3 linked regions of the Arabidopsis thaliana genome follow. The protein of the gene in region 1 interacts with the protein of each later gene in a pairwise test. Each region holds a gene or a part of one and is shown in the gene's direction. Other genes may lie near its edges. The genes, in order: RING1A, AL5 and AL1.

Region 1 (6,208 bases):
GGGTAAGTCATCTCAAGAGACTATTTTTTTCCTCATTTCTCAGTTACATTGTCTTTATCTCTCTCTCTCTCTTTGGAGATATAGTATGATTCAGGGGATAACAAGATGTACATGTCCGGTCCATTACTGGCTCAGCCAAGAAAAGTGGATCAGATGCTGGAAGAACACGACCGGCAGCTCCAAGATTTCACCAGACAGAAAGCAAAACACTGCAGAAACTAAATCACGTATCTGAATGATTTTGCTGGGAGTCTTTTATCAGAGGACAAAAACAGAGAACCATTCAAGTCTTGTTGTATCAAGAAGAGTCTTATTTGGTTCGTAGATTTTGAAAAATTTGTTTGTAATATATAGAGATTAAAAGATTGTTGTTGGCTTATAAAAAGCTAAGCTCTGTGGTTATAGAGTGATGTGTATAACATTTATACAGACTCATCATAGAGTTTGGTTCTTTGTGTATATTACATGTATGTACACTTCTTCATATATTACAGAGATGTGTACATAACATAACATATCCATATATGTTTCATAGATTCCTATTATCAGTATGCTGTTTCTGATTACATATTTTTACAAGTTCCTAACTTTCAATCAGATTCTGATAAAAGGCTCTTGAAGATAGTAAAACAGTTTGATAAAGATTTGAAAGAAGAAACATATGGAGAATCAGATTAACAAGTCATTCTCATACACAGTAAACTGTGTCAGAAGGTGTCCTAAGATATTTACTGATTATTATCATCATATTTCTCCAAGATGTTATCTTTCACCAATTTGATTACTTGAAAAACTGAATCTGAAATTACTAAAAACAAAACTTATGAAAACTGTTTTCTTTAAAGGGATGAAGAATCAGAAAGAACGTAGCGAATTGAAGTTTTTATCGATCAATTGAATCTAAAGAATCATCACACATAATCGACAACTTTCATCACATTCTTCAGACCAATTTCAAACAAAGAAAATTCGTAAAACGGAATATTGCAAAAGAAGCGAAATTGAGAAACGAGAAGAAGAAATCGAATGAATGTACAAAGAACGGCGGAAGATGAGCTATTTATAAGAGATTGAGAAGAAACCCTAAATTTATCTGTTTGACTAAAAAAGACAAAATCTTTAAACTCTCTGTTTGGACACAAGTACAATTCCAGTTCGGACTGTTTTTATTGGTTACAAATTTCCTTTTTCTTCCTTTGCTTTTGTTGGGCCTTCTTGCTTAAACATTCTTTACTCAATTTTGGCCCAGTCTATTGTTCTAATTTAATACAATAAACCTTGTTAAATATAGTTTAACGAAAGTGATAAACAAATAGCCGTCTTAGCTCAGTGGTAGAGCGCGTGGCTTTTAACCACGTGGCCGTGGGTTCGATCCCCACAGACGGCGTAGCTCTTTGATTTTGTTATAGTTAGTCATTTTATTATTTTTAGTCAAAAATTCAATTTTACAATTTAATCATGGCTTTGGCAAGTGAGCAAGTGGGTTTAAATTTAAATATTTTTCTTTTTTTTCGACAGCAATACAATTTTATAAAAGCGGTCGATTTTATGTTTTTTAAGTTTTATAATCCGGTTTAAATAATAGAATTAGGAGATATTAAGAAGAAAAAAATATAATTAGGATATATTAATTAAAGTGAAGAAAAATGGCAAAAAAAAAAAAGAGGCCAAAATTCTCACTTTTTTCTTCGACCGATTTCTTTCTCCTATTTCGTCTATATCGGCACCGAACCAAAAACACAAACGAAGCAGAACAAGAAGAAGAAGAAGAATAGAGAGAGACGTAGAGAGAGAGAGACAAAGGCTGAGCCTTTTGGGTTTCTCTTAGAGAGAAGATCTTTAGTGTGTGTCCCTACAATGTCTGTCAAGAATAATAGCTTCTCGTCGGCTGAGATTCCCGATGTGGCAGACCAACCACGCGACCGATTTAACCCCGAAGCTACACAGGATCTACAAGAGAAGGATGAGACGAAAGAAGAGAAAGAAGGAGATGAGGAAGTGAAACACGACGAAGCGGAGGAAGACCAAGAAGTAGTGAAACCCAACGACGCCGAGGAAGATGATGATGGTGACGATGCAGAGGAGGACGAGGAAGAAGAAGTAGAAGCAGAGGAAGATGAAGAAGCAGAGGAAGAGGAAGAAGAAGAAGAGGAAGAAGAAGAAGAAGAAGAAGGTAAAGGATGTGTTTTTGTTTCTTCTACTCTCGTGTAAACGTGAGAGTGTTTTGTGTTTGTTCATGTGATCGATTTGGTTCTCTCTCTTTGTTTCTGTTTCAGATTCTAAAGAAAGAAGTCCATCTTCTATATCTGGAGACCAATCAGAGTAATGATTTTTCTCATTTCTCTGTCTTTCTCTTCTCCAGATGTGTTTAGCTTGTGATGGGTTCTCTACTCCAATATTTCTTTACTTCTGTTGTTCTAGTCAATTAAATGTTAAAATTGCTCTGCTTGATTTAGTAATCTGTTGATGCATCTTCTTAGCACTTGCATGTTGTAATTCCTCTCGTATTACTGCTCAAAACCTCTACGCTCTTGTGGCTAAACAATGTAAAGTCTTTACCTTGAATAATAGCGGCCATTACTGGAAGTTGTGTCCTAAGAATGATTCATCTTCTATTTAACTTGACCTTTAGAATGTCAGCTTTATTTTTGTCTTGAGATAGATTCTTTACTGTAGAATAAAGAAGCTGGATGGATCTTTCTTGTTTAATTGTGTCTGCATTTTTTTCATGCAGGTTTATGGAAATTGATCTAGGGGAAATCCGTAAAGACGTGCAGTGTCCAATATGCCTAGGTACTCAATTTTGTCCTGAATATTTCTCGTTGGGAACAGAACTTTTGCTAAAGCTCGAAAGCCGTTACTTTCTTCAGTCGGCATGAAATTCTTGCGTCTTTTCATATCGTATTCTTGTAGATAAGTCGGCATGATTTGGTTCACACTCTATTTTTAAGCTACATTACTACATCTGGCTGAAACGAGTTTCTTGTTGTCCTGTTTTCAGGTATTATAAAGAAAACAAGGACTGTGATGGAATGTCTCCACAGGTTCTGCCGGGAATGTATTGATAAGTCAATGAGATTGGGGTACGGTTTCAAATTGTTTGGGTCTTACTCTTATTATCTATGTTGTTTTCGTTTCTTCTTGCTTCTCAGTTCTGTGCCACTTTCAAGTTAAATATTTCATCATTCTCTTGGGAGCCATAAGTGTTGGCTTTTCTAAAGCTTTTTTTTGAGTTTATATTAACTGAAGTTTCTATTGCAGGAATAACGAATGTCCTGCTTGCAGGAAGCATTGTGCAAGCCGGCGTTCTCTAAGAGACGATCCGAAATTTGATGCTCTTATTGCTGCTTTATTTACAAATATTGATAGTTATGAGGAAGAGGTAAAGCATCAACATATTTTTCCTGCTTGTTTGTTTTGGAGAGATTGTTGCTGTTAAAACGCTTTGTTTTTTTTGGTTCAGGAACTGGCTTTTCACGAAGATGAAATGGCTCGTAATAAGCAGGTCGGATACCATGGAGAATGTTGTTATTCACTTTTTTGACTATTGCTTAAAATATACTTAATCACCTTCTTATGGCTTTTGTGTAGATTCAAGCATCTATAGCTCAGATATCGCAACGACAATCTGAGGCTCTTGTGAAAAGACGATCTCTTGGTAAAGAGGCAGCAGTCTTAATGAGATCACCGCGTATTGCTAGTGGCTCCAGAAGGAGACGGAACAGCAGAAACATGGAACAACAAAACGCATCAGAAGCTCATGAAGATGATGATAATGATGATAATAACAACAGAGGAAGAGACAAAGATTCGTCTTCAGATGAGCGTGGTACAGAAGTCCGGCAGAAGAAACGTAGAAAACGGTCTACAAGTCGTTCAACACAACACCCTTCTTCTTCAGGTGCAAACAAAAACAATGGTAACTGTGCAGATAACGACACAGAAGTGTATAGAGACACCAAAGGCATATCTCCCGGGCTTGTGTGGAATCCCGAGATACTGGCTTGGGGAAGAGGCGGGACAAGGAGTAACACAAGGCATGGGAATAATACTTCTGGAGGTAGTAGTAAGAGTGTAAGGAATGCCCGTGTGAACAAACTTGTTGAATATCTACGCAGCAGCGTAGATGGATCTAGTGTTGAGGTACCAAAGAAAAAAAACGATGATTCTCTTCTTCTTGATGACCTGTATTTTTGATTGCAGTTAGTTTGGATTTCGATTAAACTTAATCTTTCTTGCAGTTGGATATTCATGTCAAGCTTGTCTCGCTGGATACAAAATGTATACCAGACTTACCACAGCCATATCTCTGTTGCCGACCCACTTTGCTTGTAAAACAGCTCCGTGAAGTGAGCACTCTCTCTCCCTTTACAGTTATCATCAGACTTGTCACAGTAGAAAGTGGTTTTTTGTTATATATATTGATGCGAAAGTACTTCAATATGATTCAATAACAAAAATGATTTCAGTATCACATACGCTAATATATTTGTCAACTTTCAATGTTGTACAGTTCGTTGCACTTCAGATACATTTGAAGACTGAAGAGGTTGAATTGTTAGTAACAAGAAGAAGAGTAGGAGAAGATGCGGCAATAGAGAATCTTCCTGCAGTGACTCCAGCTTCAGCAGCAGCATCTAAAGATGAGATGCTGAGTTTGGAAGACAATGAAACATTGTCAAGGCTCAAAATCGATTTCATTTCAAGCCATGAACAACATTTGGTAGCGTCAATAATAATAATTTTTATCTAAATATCTTACAGTCTAATCTAAGTATGATTCAACTTTGTGAGACTTTTTCCTTATTTGGTTTGTGCCTTCAGATCATAGCTTACCGGAAGAAGCAAACTGAGTGAAGAAACTTGGAGCCTAATGGACGTGCTGCGGAAGTGCAAACAGTGTATAATATATAAACAGATGGATCAGGGCTTGTTTTGTTTATCCGTTTGCTAGATTATATATCTCAGTTGGTTTTTTTATTTAGGAAGTTTTTTGTTTGTGACAAACTTTTTTCCTTTGTGTATTCATTGTAGACGTTGCTTAGTATTTCCGGAGCAAGTTTTTATATGGAAACCTTTTTTTTACTATATATATATCAGTCAAGTCTCAGAACACAGGAAGATTATGCTACTGCCTCATTTTATAATGGAGACGTTGAGCGGTTGGTGCGGTTCAAACGTTCTTGAACAGCAATATCTGCTGCTGCTTAGTCTTTTTTACTTTTTAACAGCTACCTCATGTGAGGAGAAACCATCATCATTGTTCTCCTGTCGATTCTTCTAATCACTCTAAGCTTTGGTGAATTTGGTTTTGTCGTCTCCTTGTTCGACCTGTGTTTAATTGACATGGAGTTTTCTTTGTTTAACAAGTGTAGGTAAAAATCAAGAACAGAAAAGAAGAAATCAACTCCTGGTTTGGATCAGAACTTACTTGTGAGGTAAGAATGGGTTGTTAAGGTTTGACACTGGTCTGGTTTGAGGAACGATTGTCCTTCTCAGTTGTTTTAGAGCTCTCTCTTCCTCTACCTGACAAAGTTTTAGGTAAAATACATTTACTATCATACTCTTTTATTAGATACATCTATACTTGGCAGAAAATTTATAGTATTATACCATTTTTGCGGCTTCCGCCTCTTCGAGATGTCTCTTGTACATCATCTCTTTCTCTTTGATCTGGAACCAAAGATGATAGAACAAGTTAGTTGAGAAATCAAAAGGTTTCTTTTAATCTGCTGATCGAGTTAGATAAGCTTACTTTATGGTCAAAGTCTGCCCTTTCGATAGGCCGATGGTCCACATGCAGATTAAACTCTTGAAAAATTCTGTAAGAGGCCTTTAGTTTATCCAGAACAGAAATTTGATCTCTGAGTCAGCCAGTCAGGTGAGAATTCACAGAAATTATTTGAGTCTTTGAATATGTAAAGGAAACTGTATATGTTGACGAAGAAACAGCAGATGAACAGTCACTTACTCTTTAATCACTGGCTGTGCTCTGAAGACAATAGGAAACAAACAAAAGCTCTATAGCCTGAGACATTTCCGTCGACACTACTGAAGATGTCTCTCTCCGTACGGGCTAGCGGCTAGCCCGGGCCATCGTTTCTAGATGGAACTCCTGCAACAGTAAGAATAAAGCCACGTTTAAAACGTCTCACTCAGAAAATATTTTGGATAAGAGCGTTTGAATCTCGTGGTCTGATCAGTGTGG
Region 2 (6,463 bases), about 11 Mb from region 1:
GAGCTGTTGGAGCTGTGCTTACCAAAAACAATCCAGATAAGGTACTATTAGTACATATTGCTATTGGTAGCATTTCATGAGTAGGGAAAATGTATATTTTATTAGAAGAGAGACAGTATAGGCCAAGTACCAGCCGCCAGCTCTGTGGATGTTACTGTTTAAAGGGAGAAGTATTATTGAGAGTCCCACATGGTTACGAATGAGACTAACAAATGCCTTATAAATTATAACGCCTAAGGGCACCTTCCTCTCTCCTCTAGGGGCTTGGTTTGGATGGCTTCTTATCAGTATATTAATGAGATTCTGGTTACTGTTGCAAATTATTATAACTCATGGTCTTTGGCAGATGACCTGGAGTCCAATTGTATAAAAATTTCTAGAGTACCTCTTTATTTAGATTCTAGTCACTTATCATCAGTAACAATCTACGCGGTTTGTACTATCTGAATATAATTATTTTTTGTGTTAAAGTTTTAGTCATCTGGCAATAAAAGAACCTGGTTGATAGGGGTATTCGTTTGAGCTTTGTTATAGGCCTCCTTTTATCACCCCCACTGATATTTACTATTATATGCACAAGAACCTTATCCTTCTCAGAAAATTTCTTGGTAAATGAAATTTGTAGATGCCTTGATTAAGCTATTATTTTTGTTCTTGTTGTCTCTACTTCCAGTATTTCATTTGATATCCACACGCCTTATAGTTGTATGTTTACCATTTCTCAATGTCGCTATATAGGTATCTGCATTGATTCTGGAAAATACTTTCACATCCATTCTTGATATGGCTGGCGTTTTGCTGCCGTTCTTGAAGTGGTTTATTGGAGGAAGTGGTACGAAAAGCCTGAAGCTTCTTAATTTTGTTGTACGTTCTCCCTGGAAAACAATTGATGCTATTGCTGAGGTAAGATGCAAATGTAGACTCTTGCAGATAGATGTTAGATGGATTCTTTTCGTTTACTGTTTGCATATGCCATAAAATGACTCATTTAAGCAAAAAACACTATGGTACCCCAATGACCTCACTGGCATATATATTAATATATCTCATGCATTTGCATTCCTTCATTTCCTTTTAACGGGACATAGTGTATATATCTTTGCGGAATATGTTGAATTCATGATAAGCTAACCCGAACTATAAAATTATTCATGTATGCCGCAAGCTGATTGATTGCTCCCTGATTTGTTCTATGGAGTAAAACTTGAAAGGAAACAAGAAAGGAGCTTGATGTGCTGCTAAAAACATATCCCTGTTAAAAAAATGTCTCATCGTTTGATTTTCTGTAGCAACCTGTGATAAACTGATCTTGCAACAATGACAGATCAAACAACCAGTGCTTTTCCTCTCTGGACTGCAAGATGAGATGGTCCCTCCATTTCACATGAAAATGCTGTATGCGAAAGCGGCTGCCCGTAACCCTCAGTGCACATTTGTGGAGTTTCCAAGTGGGATGCATATGGATACATGGCTGTCTGGTGGTGAAGTTTACTGGAAAACAAACTTGCAATTTCTCGAAAAGTATGCGCCTGAGAAAAGGAAAGAAGATACAGGTAAGATGATCTACCAAGTATAAGTAACAATTTTGTTTTACAGAGATGTTTCTTGGGATGTTTTTCCCAAAGTAGAATACTAGGCTTGACGTTGGTCTCTAATCTGATGACAGGAAGGTAACGATCAACGATGCTGTGTTTAGAGGAAGATTCGACTCACTTATTTCCTATTGCAACCTGAAACGACGGTATTGTTTGTTATAAGCATGTGTATACGTATGTTGCATTTGGGAGTGACAGATACAACTTGTTCAGAGAGTGAGATATTGGACAGGAACTTTTGTAAGCAGAACCAGCTAGTGGAGATGGCAAGTGTAAGCTAATCAGATGCATTTGCTTCGTCTCAGTTTTCCTTCTTTTTTTTGGGTTATTTTTTTTCCAATTGTTGTTGGTGTTTCTCATCTGATCGTAACTATTTCCTCTGGATGATCATGGCTTTGTAGATGATTGAGAAAAGTGAAAAAAGACATGGTTATATGATTATATCTTGAATGTGTTGATTACGTCTGTCATTCATAATATTTATGAAATCTGTAGAGTAGTTTTTTTCCCGACAAACTTGATTATGTTTGAAAATGAGATAACACCAAACTAAACGCACGAAGACATTATTAATGTCCATTATTTATGTATTTTTATTTTTAAATAAGTGTTGTGACTAGACCGGGTCGGTCACTGTCCACGGGGCAACTTTTTAGTCTGCATTAAGTTTTCTTACTTTATCACTTAAGAACAAAAATTCTGCTTTAGAAAAAAAAAAGAAGCAAACCTCACTGTTCTTTCATCGTTTCCGAGAGAGGAGAGACGGACATGGAAGGAGGAACTGCGCACTACAGCCCTCGAACTGTCGAAGAAGTCTTTCGAGATTTTAAGGGCCGTCGAGCTGGCATCATCCAAGCTCTCACCACTGGTCTCTTCTTTCTTCTCTTTGCTTTTTAAAGTTTGAAACTTTTCTTATGGGTTTTGAGTTTTTCGTGGGAATTCTTCTCATGACGATCGTTTGGTGGCTTTATTTAGACCCTTTTTCAACAATTGTGCTCTAGTGTTATGGATTGTGTTGATGATGCTTAGTTCTTCGAATTAAGAACAATTAATTTCTTTTTTTTGCAGATGTGGAAGATTTTTTCCAGCAATGCGACCCTGGTTAGCTTTTTTCTCTCTCTAGCCTTAAGTATGCTCTCAAGCTGTTTCAGTTATTCCTGATTTTGAATATGCAAAGTTGAGATGGTAACATAGGCTTGTCCAAATCGACACTCACACTGAAAAGTATAAGATCTTGCTCTGCTGCTTACATGTGTTTTGGTACTGGTGACTGATTATGTTGAACATTTGAGCAACTTTTATTTTAGTTCGGTGGTTTGGTCTCCCCATGAACTATATACTCTTTCGCATTTGGTGCTGTTATCTTTCTCTATATCTCGCTTTTGACTTCATGCTTTGTGCCTTGATCGACATAACCATAACCATTTAGAGGTTGCATGTCTCTATGAAATTTCTTGTGGCTCTAAAACTTGTTTTAGTTAAGAGGAATATATTAATTTTTTGTCATCAATATATTAATTTAATAAACATGATTTCGTTATTGAATATAGCTGCTTGTCTTGATTTTACGTAGCTAAATATCGTTTTCAGAGAGTATTTCGTTGCTTTCTCTGCTAATTAAGTAGCGTTGATAAACTGAAGTTTGTATGACTGTTTTATGACATTTCAGAGAAGCAGAATCTCTGCTTGTATGGATTCCCAAATGAAGTGTGGGAAGTTAACTTACCAGCTGAAGAAGTGCCTCCTGAGCTTCCCGAACCTGCACTCGGCATTAACTTTGCCAGAGATGGGATGCAGGAAAGAAACTGGCTTTCTCTCGTTGCTGTCCACAGTGATGCGTGGTTACTTTCTGTGTCTTTTTACTTTGGTTCAAGATTTGGTTTCGATAGAGCTGACAGGTATCATTCTTTCTTTCTTGGTTGCTGTGTTTTCTCTTCTAACCTGGTGTTCGTTGTTTAATATCTTCTCTGCTCAATTCTCTACCATTAATTATCATGATATCTGAAGCATTTCCATACTAACCCGTACACTTACAAATTCAGGAAGCGCTTGTTTAGTATGATAAATGAGGTTCCTACTGTATATGAAGTTGTAACTGGAAATGCAGAGAAGCAAACAAAGGAAATGCCCTCTTCAGCAAATCAAAATGGCAACAGATCCAAGTCAAATTCAAAAATGGTAAGTCTCATGCTCTCCTTTAATAAGATACAGAACATTAATTATGAACTAAGAACAAACCAAATCCTTTATTAACTATGAACTGGGAACTATGAACATTAATTACTATGCTACTCTTCCAAACCCTTTCTCAACTCAGTATCGCGATCCTATCACCTTCGGTTCTCTATATAACTCCTCCCATAGTACACTAACCGGTCTAAGTTGTTCGTTAGTTGAGCTGACAACTCAACTACAATCCTACAGAAAAAGGTCTATGATTGTTAATGGTATCCTGAAAGTTTTGCGGAAATAGCTCTTGTTTCATTCTTAGACCTTCTTTTCGATACTCAAGCTTTGTCCTTCGTCTACTCTTATCATTTTTTGTTTTGTCTTGCAGTATTTCAGAAATTAGGAATGGTTAAATGGATATTCAATAAAGCACAGCACTGGCATATGTTATTCACATTCACATCGTAAAGGATTCAACCTATTTATGACATTTTCATATACAGTCATTGCACTATCTTGGAAGTCTCATTTGAGTAGCTGCTACACAATTCAACTATAGTTTAACAGAACACCTTGATTTCTAACTTTTTAAGAGACACGTTTGGAAATATTTGAACATTGAAATTATTTATAGTTATATGAAAGGTTTTCCTTCTTATATTATAACTACATATATATTTATTTATGTTTCAGATAACACAACCATATTTGATCAGGGTTAAAGTATCAGAAACTGTTTTGTTTTTGTGCTTTAAGGTTACTGTTGTAGCGTACCTACTACCTACAATACTTCTCATTTTCTGCTAACCTCGAGCGTATGCTGCACAAGTTTGTTCCTTAAACATCTGTTTCATCATATGCATTATAGATTGAGATCTTACACAGTTTGCTATTGAGTTCTAAAACATTAACTGAACACAATACTCTTACTTCCATAATCGTAGTTTGTGAATTGTGTGGCATAAGAAACCTCTTAAGTTTCAGGCAGCACAAAGATGTATCTTTAGTTGCAATCATCTAAGCGGCAGGTCTGGAATTACTGTATCAGTATGCAATGAAATGGCCAATTTATCACAAGCTTACCGCTCCAGTGACACTTGTTGATTACTTTTTATAGTTTACTCTCTGCTATTTTGGTGTAGTTAATACATTTCTTGATCTGGAATGCAGAGAGGTTTAGAAAGTAAAAGTTCAAAGACGATACATGCCAAGGATGAGGAAGAAGGATTAGAGTTAGAAGAAGGGGAAGAGGAAGAGGATGAGGATGAAGACGAACACGGTGAAACCCTATGTGGAGCATGTGGAGATAACTATGCTTCTGATGAATTCTGGATTTGCTGTGACATGTGCGAGAAATGGTTCCACGGGGAGTGTGTGAAGATCACTCCAGCTAGAGCGGAGCATATCAAGCATTACAAGTGCCCTACTTGCAGCAACAAAAGAGCACGACCCTAGATGTTTTATTTCCACTAATCTTAGCTACTATCTATTTTGTTTTATTTCCACTAGTCTTAGCTACTCTCTATTTATCCCCCAAACAGTACAATGCACTTAAAGTTTGTGTGTTGTTCAGATAAGTTATTTGTAGCATGTCCAGATTTGATTCCTCAACCCAATTTGTATAACTCAGAATGTGGTCTTTGATAAGATACGTTTAAAAGGCAAGATCAAGCTGTCACAAGGTCATGATCAAGCTGCAGAACACAATACAAATGGAAATTGAATTGCTTACACCTAAGCATCACAGAGAGTGTTATCAATTCTTCCAACTATATATAACCTAGAGTTCAGCTTCTTTGTTCCCGGAAACACCAAGAAGCTTGGCGAGTTCACCGCTCTCATACGCATCTACGGTATCTATAACCAGAAACAAAGATAAATCTATCGATCAGCAAATGTTGGCATAAGCAAAGACGTTTTGTTGAAGGAAAAGGAGTGTTAAGTATACCATCTGATCCTCCGAGATGTTTTCCGTTAATGAAGACTTGCGGTACTGTTCGCCTTCCAACAATCTCTCCAAGTGCAGTCTGGATGCTCCAACCATCTTCTGCAAGACCAAATTTTTACCAACCATTAGTCACAAATGAATCTTCTACATAGTGATCGGACAAAGTTTCAAATGACAGAAATGTCTGAGAGCTAAGAAACATTGTTGGATGATGAAGACATGATTCCCTTTAACCTTAAAACACACCTCTTTCATCAAGCTCGACAACATAAGGAACTTGATCCAGCTCTCTGAACACTGATTTAGCTTTCTTGCAGTAGCTGTTGACCAAACCACAAGGAAGCAAAGGAAAAGTAGAGATGAGTCATATACATAGGTACATGATCTCTCTACACAACTCAATTAAGGCCAAAGGAAAAGCAAAGAGAACAAATACTGAGAACTGAACCTGAATATATCTTAAACGAAAATCCATATTGATTTCAACCACCATTTGTAAACAGAGATAACAAAGTTGTCTCATAAAAATCCAAATCTAACGAATACAAGTTCATTGGGTTCAAGTTTTCACTCATATTTCAGATATTAAGATCTAAAAAACAAAATCGCAAATTGAAGTCACCCAAGATCCAATTTTTCTGCGAATCGGATAAAAAGTGATTAAACATGAGCAGAGAAAGAGACATACGGGCAGTAGGATTTGGAGAAAATGACGATCTTATGGGAAGAGATAGTCTTCTTAACAAAGTCG
Region 3 (5,306 bases), about 16 Mb from region 1:
TGCTAACATAAGACCACTGACCTGAAATATCAAATACACCACCAAACTTAAGAGTCTTCGATGTATCTACTAAAGCAGGAACTGCAGCCTTAGACATTAACTGTAAGGAGTACCAACTCTCAGCATGAGTGCATGACAGATATATATAGAGTGATATAAGATTACCCTATGGGAAGTTTGAACATACGGGGACTTCTTGGAAAGAGCAACCTGTTGAGAGTAAGATATGGAAAAAATTGTGATGCAAGTCCATGGTAAATCCAAAAGCAATAATTAATTTGACGACGCAATTCGGTTAGAACCTGTATGCTTGCTGGTCCCCAGTCTATGAAATTGACAAGCTTTCTTTCTCGTATCCTCTGCAAACTCTCATGCACCTAATATCAAGTAGTGAGACAACAGAGCAGATAACATCAACAAGAAAGAATTACCGATTCATCCTCAATATATCGAACAAAAAAATTAGTACATAAAAGTACCTGAGTGGGATCGACTTCTCCTTGAATTATATTCAATATTGATATGTACTTTGCCTGACTAGCTTCTTTGTTTCTAGCATAAGACGAAACCATGATATTTTTTGTCTGCGAATACAATCATGTTAGAAGAAAATCTAATTCAATTTTCGAAAAAAGACTGGAGAAAGCAAACAGCTCACCTGTAGAAGTCTCCTCATAACATCCAGCACAGTAGTTTTACGAATAACATTTGCCTGCCAAGAACAATTCACATAAGAGAGTAGGAAATCAATGAAAATGTCAATCATAACATTCAGAAGTCATGTTCCAGATAACAGCAGCTTCCCATAAAAATGGTTTGATGATATTAGTTATAAAACTGATTGAGATATCTAACCTGGCGCTCAACAGTCAACGGTGTATATCCAGTCATGAGGAAGTGACACCTTGGAGTTGGGATCAAAGATGCAAGCAAGCCAACCAAGTCATTATTCATGTATCCAGGATAACGCAACGTTGTTGTGCTAGCAGACATCACAGTTGACACCAAAGAATTGGTCTGAGCAAAAGTAGGATTAGTCAAATGTAGACGCTCCACAGCAATTCTGTTCAATGCAGTGTTGTCAAGAACAACAACACAATCAGCATTTAACGTAAGCCGCTTCAGCGTCAACAGTGAGTTGTAGGGCTGGACAACAACGTCACTCGTTTCCATCTGATTGGGAAATACACTGTATGTCTGAACCAACTTCTTGCTATAACGATCATTCAAAGTCTCCAACAAATAAGATCCCATTCCTTCATGTGAAAATACATAAAAAAAAGTCATTCAGTGAATAAACATAAGCTAAACGAAGATAGGGATTGGCAATAAAAAGTAAAATACCTGAGCCAGTGCCTCCAGCAATAGAGTGGCAAAGAACAAAACCCTCCAGACTGTCACTTCCATCAGCTTCACGATCAATCATGTCCATGATTTCCTCTTCAACACCTTTCCCTTGGTGATATCCACTGGCCCAGTTATTACCAGCACCACCGCCATGGTCAGAAAGGAAGATATTTTCATGATTGTAGAGATTCCGGTATTCACCATTCTGAATACCATTGATAACTCTAGGCTCCAAATCAATGAGGAGAGCTCTTGGTATATAGTGTTGGTCATCCGCTTGGTAAAAAAACACATCTTTTCTATCACCTCCCTACATACATACAAGTAGTTCATCAATCAAATCCACAATTCTATGAACAACAACAACAAACCAGCAACCATGGAATTCAATTAATCGATGCATAGAAACGAATTCGAAGAAAGAGGACCTGAGTAGCGAAGTCCTCGAGAATACCATCTTTGCTGATGCCGTGCTCAAGGCAAAGCTGTTTCCAGAACTCCATACCGATCTGGTTCCCACATTGTCCAACCTGAAGCGTAATTATCTCCCTCGGCATCTTCTTCCTCTGTAAAACCCTACCTAAGTGTTTCGAGACTACTACGCCTGAAGAGGATGATCAAACTATACTCATTAAAGCCACACTTTCAGCTTCTTCTTTACTCATTTACAGAGAGATACAGAGAGAAAACGTCGTTTTATCAGAATTCAACTCGATGGGCCATGGGCCAGGCCCATTTTAAAATAGAGACCAAAAACAGAAGTTACTTTACTACTACTACTCTTAAAGTCTTAAACTCTGGTCTCTCTCTATCTCTCTTGTCCGTGCGCATCGGATTTTGGAAACCATTGATGCAGACCTCAATCCATCTCTAACACCACTGATCTATCTACTTAGGTCTTCTCTAACAATACTTGTAATTTTCTTTCTTTTTGCTTCTTCCGTCACTACATCTATGGCCGCTGAGTCTTCTAACCCTCGCACCGTCGAAGAGATCTTCAAGGATTTTAGCGGTCGTCGCTCCGGTTTTCTTCGAGCTCTCTCCGTAGGTTAGACGACGACGCTATCCTCATTTTCTCCTATTTTCTCGTAAATGTTAAGCTTTCTAATTTTACATGTTGTTGTTCTTGCCTCTCTTTTACTAGATGTTGACAAGTTCTACTCTTTATGCGATCCGGGTAAACGAGCTCTTTCCATGGTTATTTTTCGGATCTGTGTTTGTTTTTTCCATGGATAAGTTTCAGAAAAAGATACCCTTTTTGATAAATTTTGTTCCTTTTTTTGTTTATTGGGTGGTCTTAGAAATGGAGAATCTGTGTTTGTACGGACACCCGAATGGGACATGGGAAGTGAATCTTCCAGCTGAGGAAGTGCCTCCGGAGCTACCTGAGCCAGCTCTTGGAATCAATTTCGCTAGAGATGGTATGCAGCGTAAAGATTGGCTCTCTTTAGTTGCTGTCCACAGTGATTGTTGGTTACTCTCTGTTTCTTCTTACTTCGGCGCTCGTCTTAATCGCAATGAGAGGTACGTTTGCCTTTTGTTCTTGCTTGTTTCAGTGACTTTTATAAATTGTCGAAGATAGTTTTACTGTGCTAGCTAGATTGTGGTGGTAATGATGAGAAAAAATATGTCTTTGGACAATGGACTGTATCATGATTCATGAGCTTGTGTCATCACTATTTTGTTTTTGTTTCCTGATTCTTTCTGTCACTTTAACTCTACTTGTCAATGAGCTTCTTTCCTTCTTAGGTTAAGTTTCTTTAAATGCATACCATTTTTCACTAATCCTTCTGTTTTTTGAACTTGTGCATCGTTTGGATATAGAAATGGCTACTACATTCAATACATATCTGTTCTATCGGAGCTGATGATATCGTGGTATTCACTAGGTTACTTATCCAGTTATCCTTCAAGTTTTATTTCCTTTACGTTCTATAAGAGTCTATGTTTTTGCTGGTAATGAAGCTCATAAGTTACATATGTGCGGGTATATGAGCTTATTTGATAGTCTTCTGAGATTATGCTACTGGGTCTAGGAACTTATTATGTATGTTCCATTCAATGAGCAGGAAACGTCTATTTAGTCTGATCAACGATCTCCCAACTCTCTTTGAAGTAGTGACGGGTAGGAAACCCATCAAAGACGGTAAACCAAGCATGGATCTCGGAAGCAAATCCAGAAACGGCGTAAAGGTATCATAATGAACTCTTTACTAATCTTTACCATCCCAAAACAGTATTTTCTTCTCAAAGACAGAGAAGGGTTTGATATTAATAAATTAGTTGTGTTTTGGTTGGTATTGAATTGTTGCAGAGATCAATTGAAGGGCAGACAAAGAGCACGCCGAAACTAATGGAAGAGAGCTATGAAGATGAAGACGATGAGCATGGAGACACACTCTGTGGAAGTTGTGGAGGAAACTACACAAACGACGAGTTCTGGATATGTTGTGATGTGTGTGAACGTTGGTACCATGGGAAGTGTGTGAAGATAACACCAGCCAAAGCAGAGAGCATCAAGCAATACAAATGCCCTTCTTGCTGCACTAAGAAAGGAAGACAGTGAGTGAATGAATGAGTGAGTCATCTTTCTCATTTTTCCTTATTTCTTTTTAAGTTATTGCAAAACATCCTTTTGTTAATGTATGAATACAAAACAATTATTGGTGTTAGATTCTCAAAAAGGGCGTTTTAAAATAGTAATGAGGGTATGAGACATGGAGAGAGTCATAGAGACACCAGCTGCTTAGAGAGCTTCGTCAACTTTTGATCAAATATGCCATGTGTTTGTATATGTAGCGACTCTACTACTTTCATCGTTTATGTGTGTAATCTCTCTTTAGGCTAATATAAAAAAAAATATTCTTATGTAAGGTTGATCTTCATAATCTCTCATATGGTATTTTAACTAAGAGTTTGTACTGACAAAATTTAAGTGGTTATAGTGGTGTTTTGTTATGTACACAAAACCAAAATAGTGGGGAAAAAACCTCATCTCCTGCAGTCTCTAATCCCTAAAACTGAATTGACGGGAAAAGTCGTTATATTTGTGATTTCAATTTCATAAAGTATAGTATAACCTCCATAAATTAATACTCGACAAATTAATAACTTTTATAAATTAATAAATTCTTCCGGTTCTAAGTTGGGACCAATGTAAAAATTGATACAAATTAATAAATTAATAAGATAATAACTTTTTTTGAAAATCTTATATAAATATATGGTCCCATCAATATTATAAATTAATAATTATGTAAATTTACCAATATATATATATATATATATATATATTCTATTTAAAATATTTATTGAAATATGACTCTAGTATTATTTTTTCTTCAATTTCTATTAATTATTTGTAGAGTTTAATTCTAATATTTTTATTACGTCAAAAAAACTTTGTATTATTTTTTAAACTTAATAATTATTTTTTCCTTGTAATTAATTTTAGAAAAAATGATTAATTATAAAGAAAAACTACTTTTATATCGAAATTTTATAAAAAATAATACAAAATTTGTAAAAATTTTCTATAAATTAATAATTATTAATTTATCGATAAATTAATACCTCTCTAAATTAATAAATTTTCTCGGTCCCAACATTATTAATTTATAGAGATTTTACTGTACAACAATTACCACACTTTAGATTCAATACTAAAAAAGAGTTTACAAATTATGATAAGTTTTCAGTACAGCCTTTGAAAACTCGATCCATGAGAGTGATTGAGCCATTTGTTGACTATTCCATCACTAAATCTCTGGCCACGGAGTCTCTGGTCTACTGCCATTTTCCATTATTGTCAATTTGTCATATAACATTTATAAGTTAATCTGAACTTTAGTTAACGACCAAAAGTATTAGAGAGGGGATTAACGTTATAAACTTCTAATATCAAACTAAACGTATAGTAATATTTCTGATTCAATTGTATAGTAAATAAAAAAGAACAT

The links.
Region 2: the proteins of RING1A (region 1) and AL5 interact in a two-hybrid assay, tested with the Arabidopsis thaliana proteins (one study listed by BioGRID).
Region 3: the proteins of RING1A (region 1) and AL1 interact in a two-hybrid assay, tested with the Arabidopsis thaliana proteins (one study listed by BioGRID).

The regions. Positions count from the first base shown.
Region 1 is NC_003076.8:17,834,764-17,840,971, reverse strand, and holds RING1A (RING 1A), read left to right. Parts: upstream 1-1,717; 5' UTR 1,718-1,857; coding exon 1,858-2,173; intron 2,174-2,245; exon of another isoform or gene 2,246-2,276; coding exon 2,277-2,322; intron 2,323-2,734; coding exon 2,735-2,793; intron 2,794-2,870; coding exon 2,871-2,901; intron 2,902-3,001; coding exon 3,002-3,044; coding exon of another isoform or gene 3,045-3,083; intron 3,084-3,152; coding exon 3,153-3,169; intron 3,170-3,261; coding exon 3,262-3,382; intron 3,383-3,463; coding exon 3,464-3,505; intron 3,506-3,591; coding exon 3,592-4,143; intron 4,144-4,241; coding exon 4,242-4,349; intron 4,350-4,513; coding exon 4,514-4,723; intron 4,724-4,824; coding exon 4,825-4,857; 3' UTR 4,858-5,123; downstream 5,124-6,208. Other genes in the region: AT5G44290 (Protein kinase superfamily protein), read left to right, coding at 1-2, 85-222; AT5G44270 (TPX2 (targeting protein for Xklp2) protein family), read right to left, coding at 5,232-5,331, 5,432-5,526, 5,614-5,673, 5,756-5,862, 6,156-6,208. UniProt on the Arabidopsis thaliana protein: Putative E3 ubiquitin-protein ligase that mediates monoubiquitination of 'Lys-119' of histone H2A (H2AK119ub), thereby playing a central role in histone code and gene regulation. As part of the PRC1-like complex, repress class I KNOX gene expression.
Region 2 is NC_003076.8:6,938,747-6,945,209, reverse strand, and holds AL5 (alfin-like 5), read left to right. Parts: upstream 1-2,198; 5' UTR 2,199-2,363; coding exon 2,364-2,463; exon of another isoform or gene 2,464-2,663; coding exon 2,664-2,696; exon of another isoform or gene 2,697-2,845; coding exon of another isoform or gene 2,846-2,855; exon of another isoform or gene 2,856-3,056; intron 3,057-3,264; coding exon 3,265-3,493; intron 3,494-3,637; coding exon 3,638-3,773; coding exon of another isoform or gene 3,774-3,848; intron 3,849-4,437; exon of another isoform or gene 4,438-4,934; coding exon 4,935-5,219; 3' UTR 5,220-5,397; downstream 5,398-6,463. Other genes in the region: WAV2 (alpha/beta-Hydrolases superfamily protein), read left to right, coding at 1-41, 739-903, 1,325-1,553, 1,667-1,674; AT5G20500 (Glutaredoxin family protein), read right to left, coding at 5,545-5,621, 5,713-5,811, 5,959-6,032, 6,401-6,463. UniProt on the Arabidopsis thaliana protein: Histone-binding component that specifically recognizes H3 tails trimethylated on 'Lys-4' (H3K4me3), which mark transcription start sites of virtually all active genes.
Region 3 is NC_003076.8:1,675,938-1,681,243, reverse strand, and holds AL1 (alfin-like 1), read left to right. Parts: upstream 1-2,136; 5' UTR 2,137-2,301; coding exon 2,302-2,395; intron 2,396-2,491; coding exon 2,492-2,524; intron 2,525-2,648; coding exon 2,649-2,871; intron 2,872-3,416; coding exon 3,417-3,540; intron 3,541-3,661; coding exon 3,662-3,913; 3' UTR 3,914-3,925; exon of another isoform or gene 3,926-4,020; 3' UTR 4,021-4,355; downstream 4,356-5,306. Other genes in the region: GCP2 (gamma-tubulin complex protein 2), read right to left, coding at 1-21, 166-210, 303-377, 480-584, 659-712, 856-1,256, 1,345-1,657, 1,776-1,904. UniProt on the Arabidopsis thaliana protein: Histone-binding component that specifically recognizes H3 tails trimethylated on 'Lys-4' (H3K4me3), which mark transcription start sites of virtually all active genes.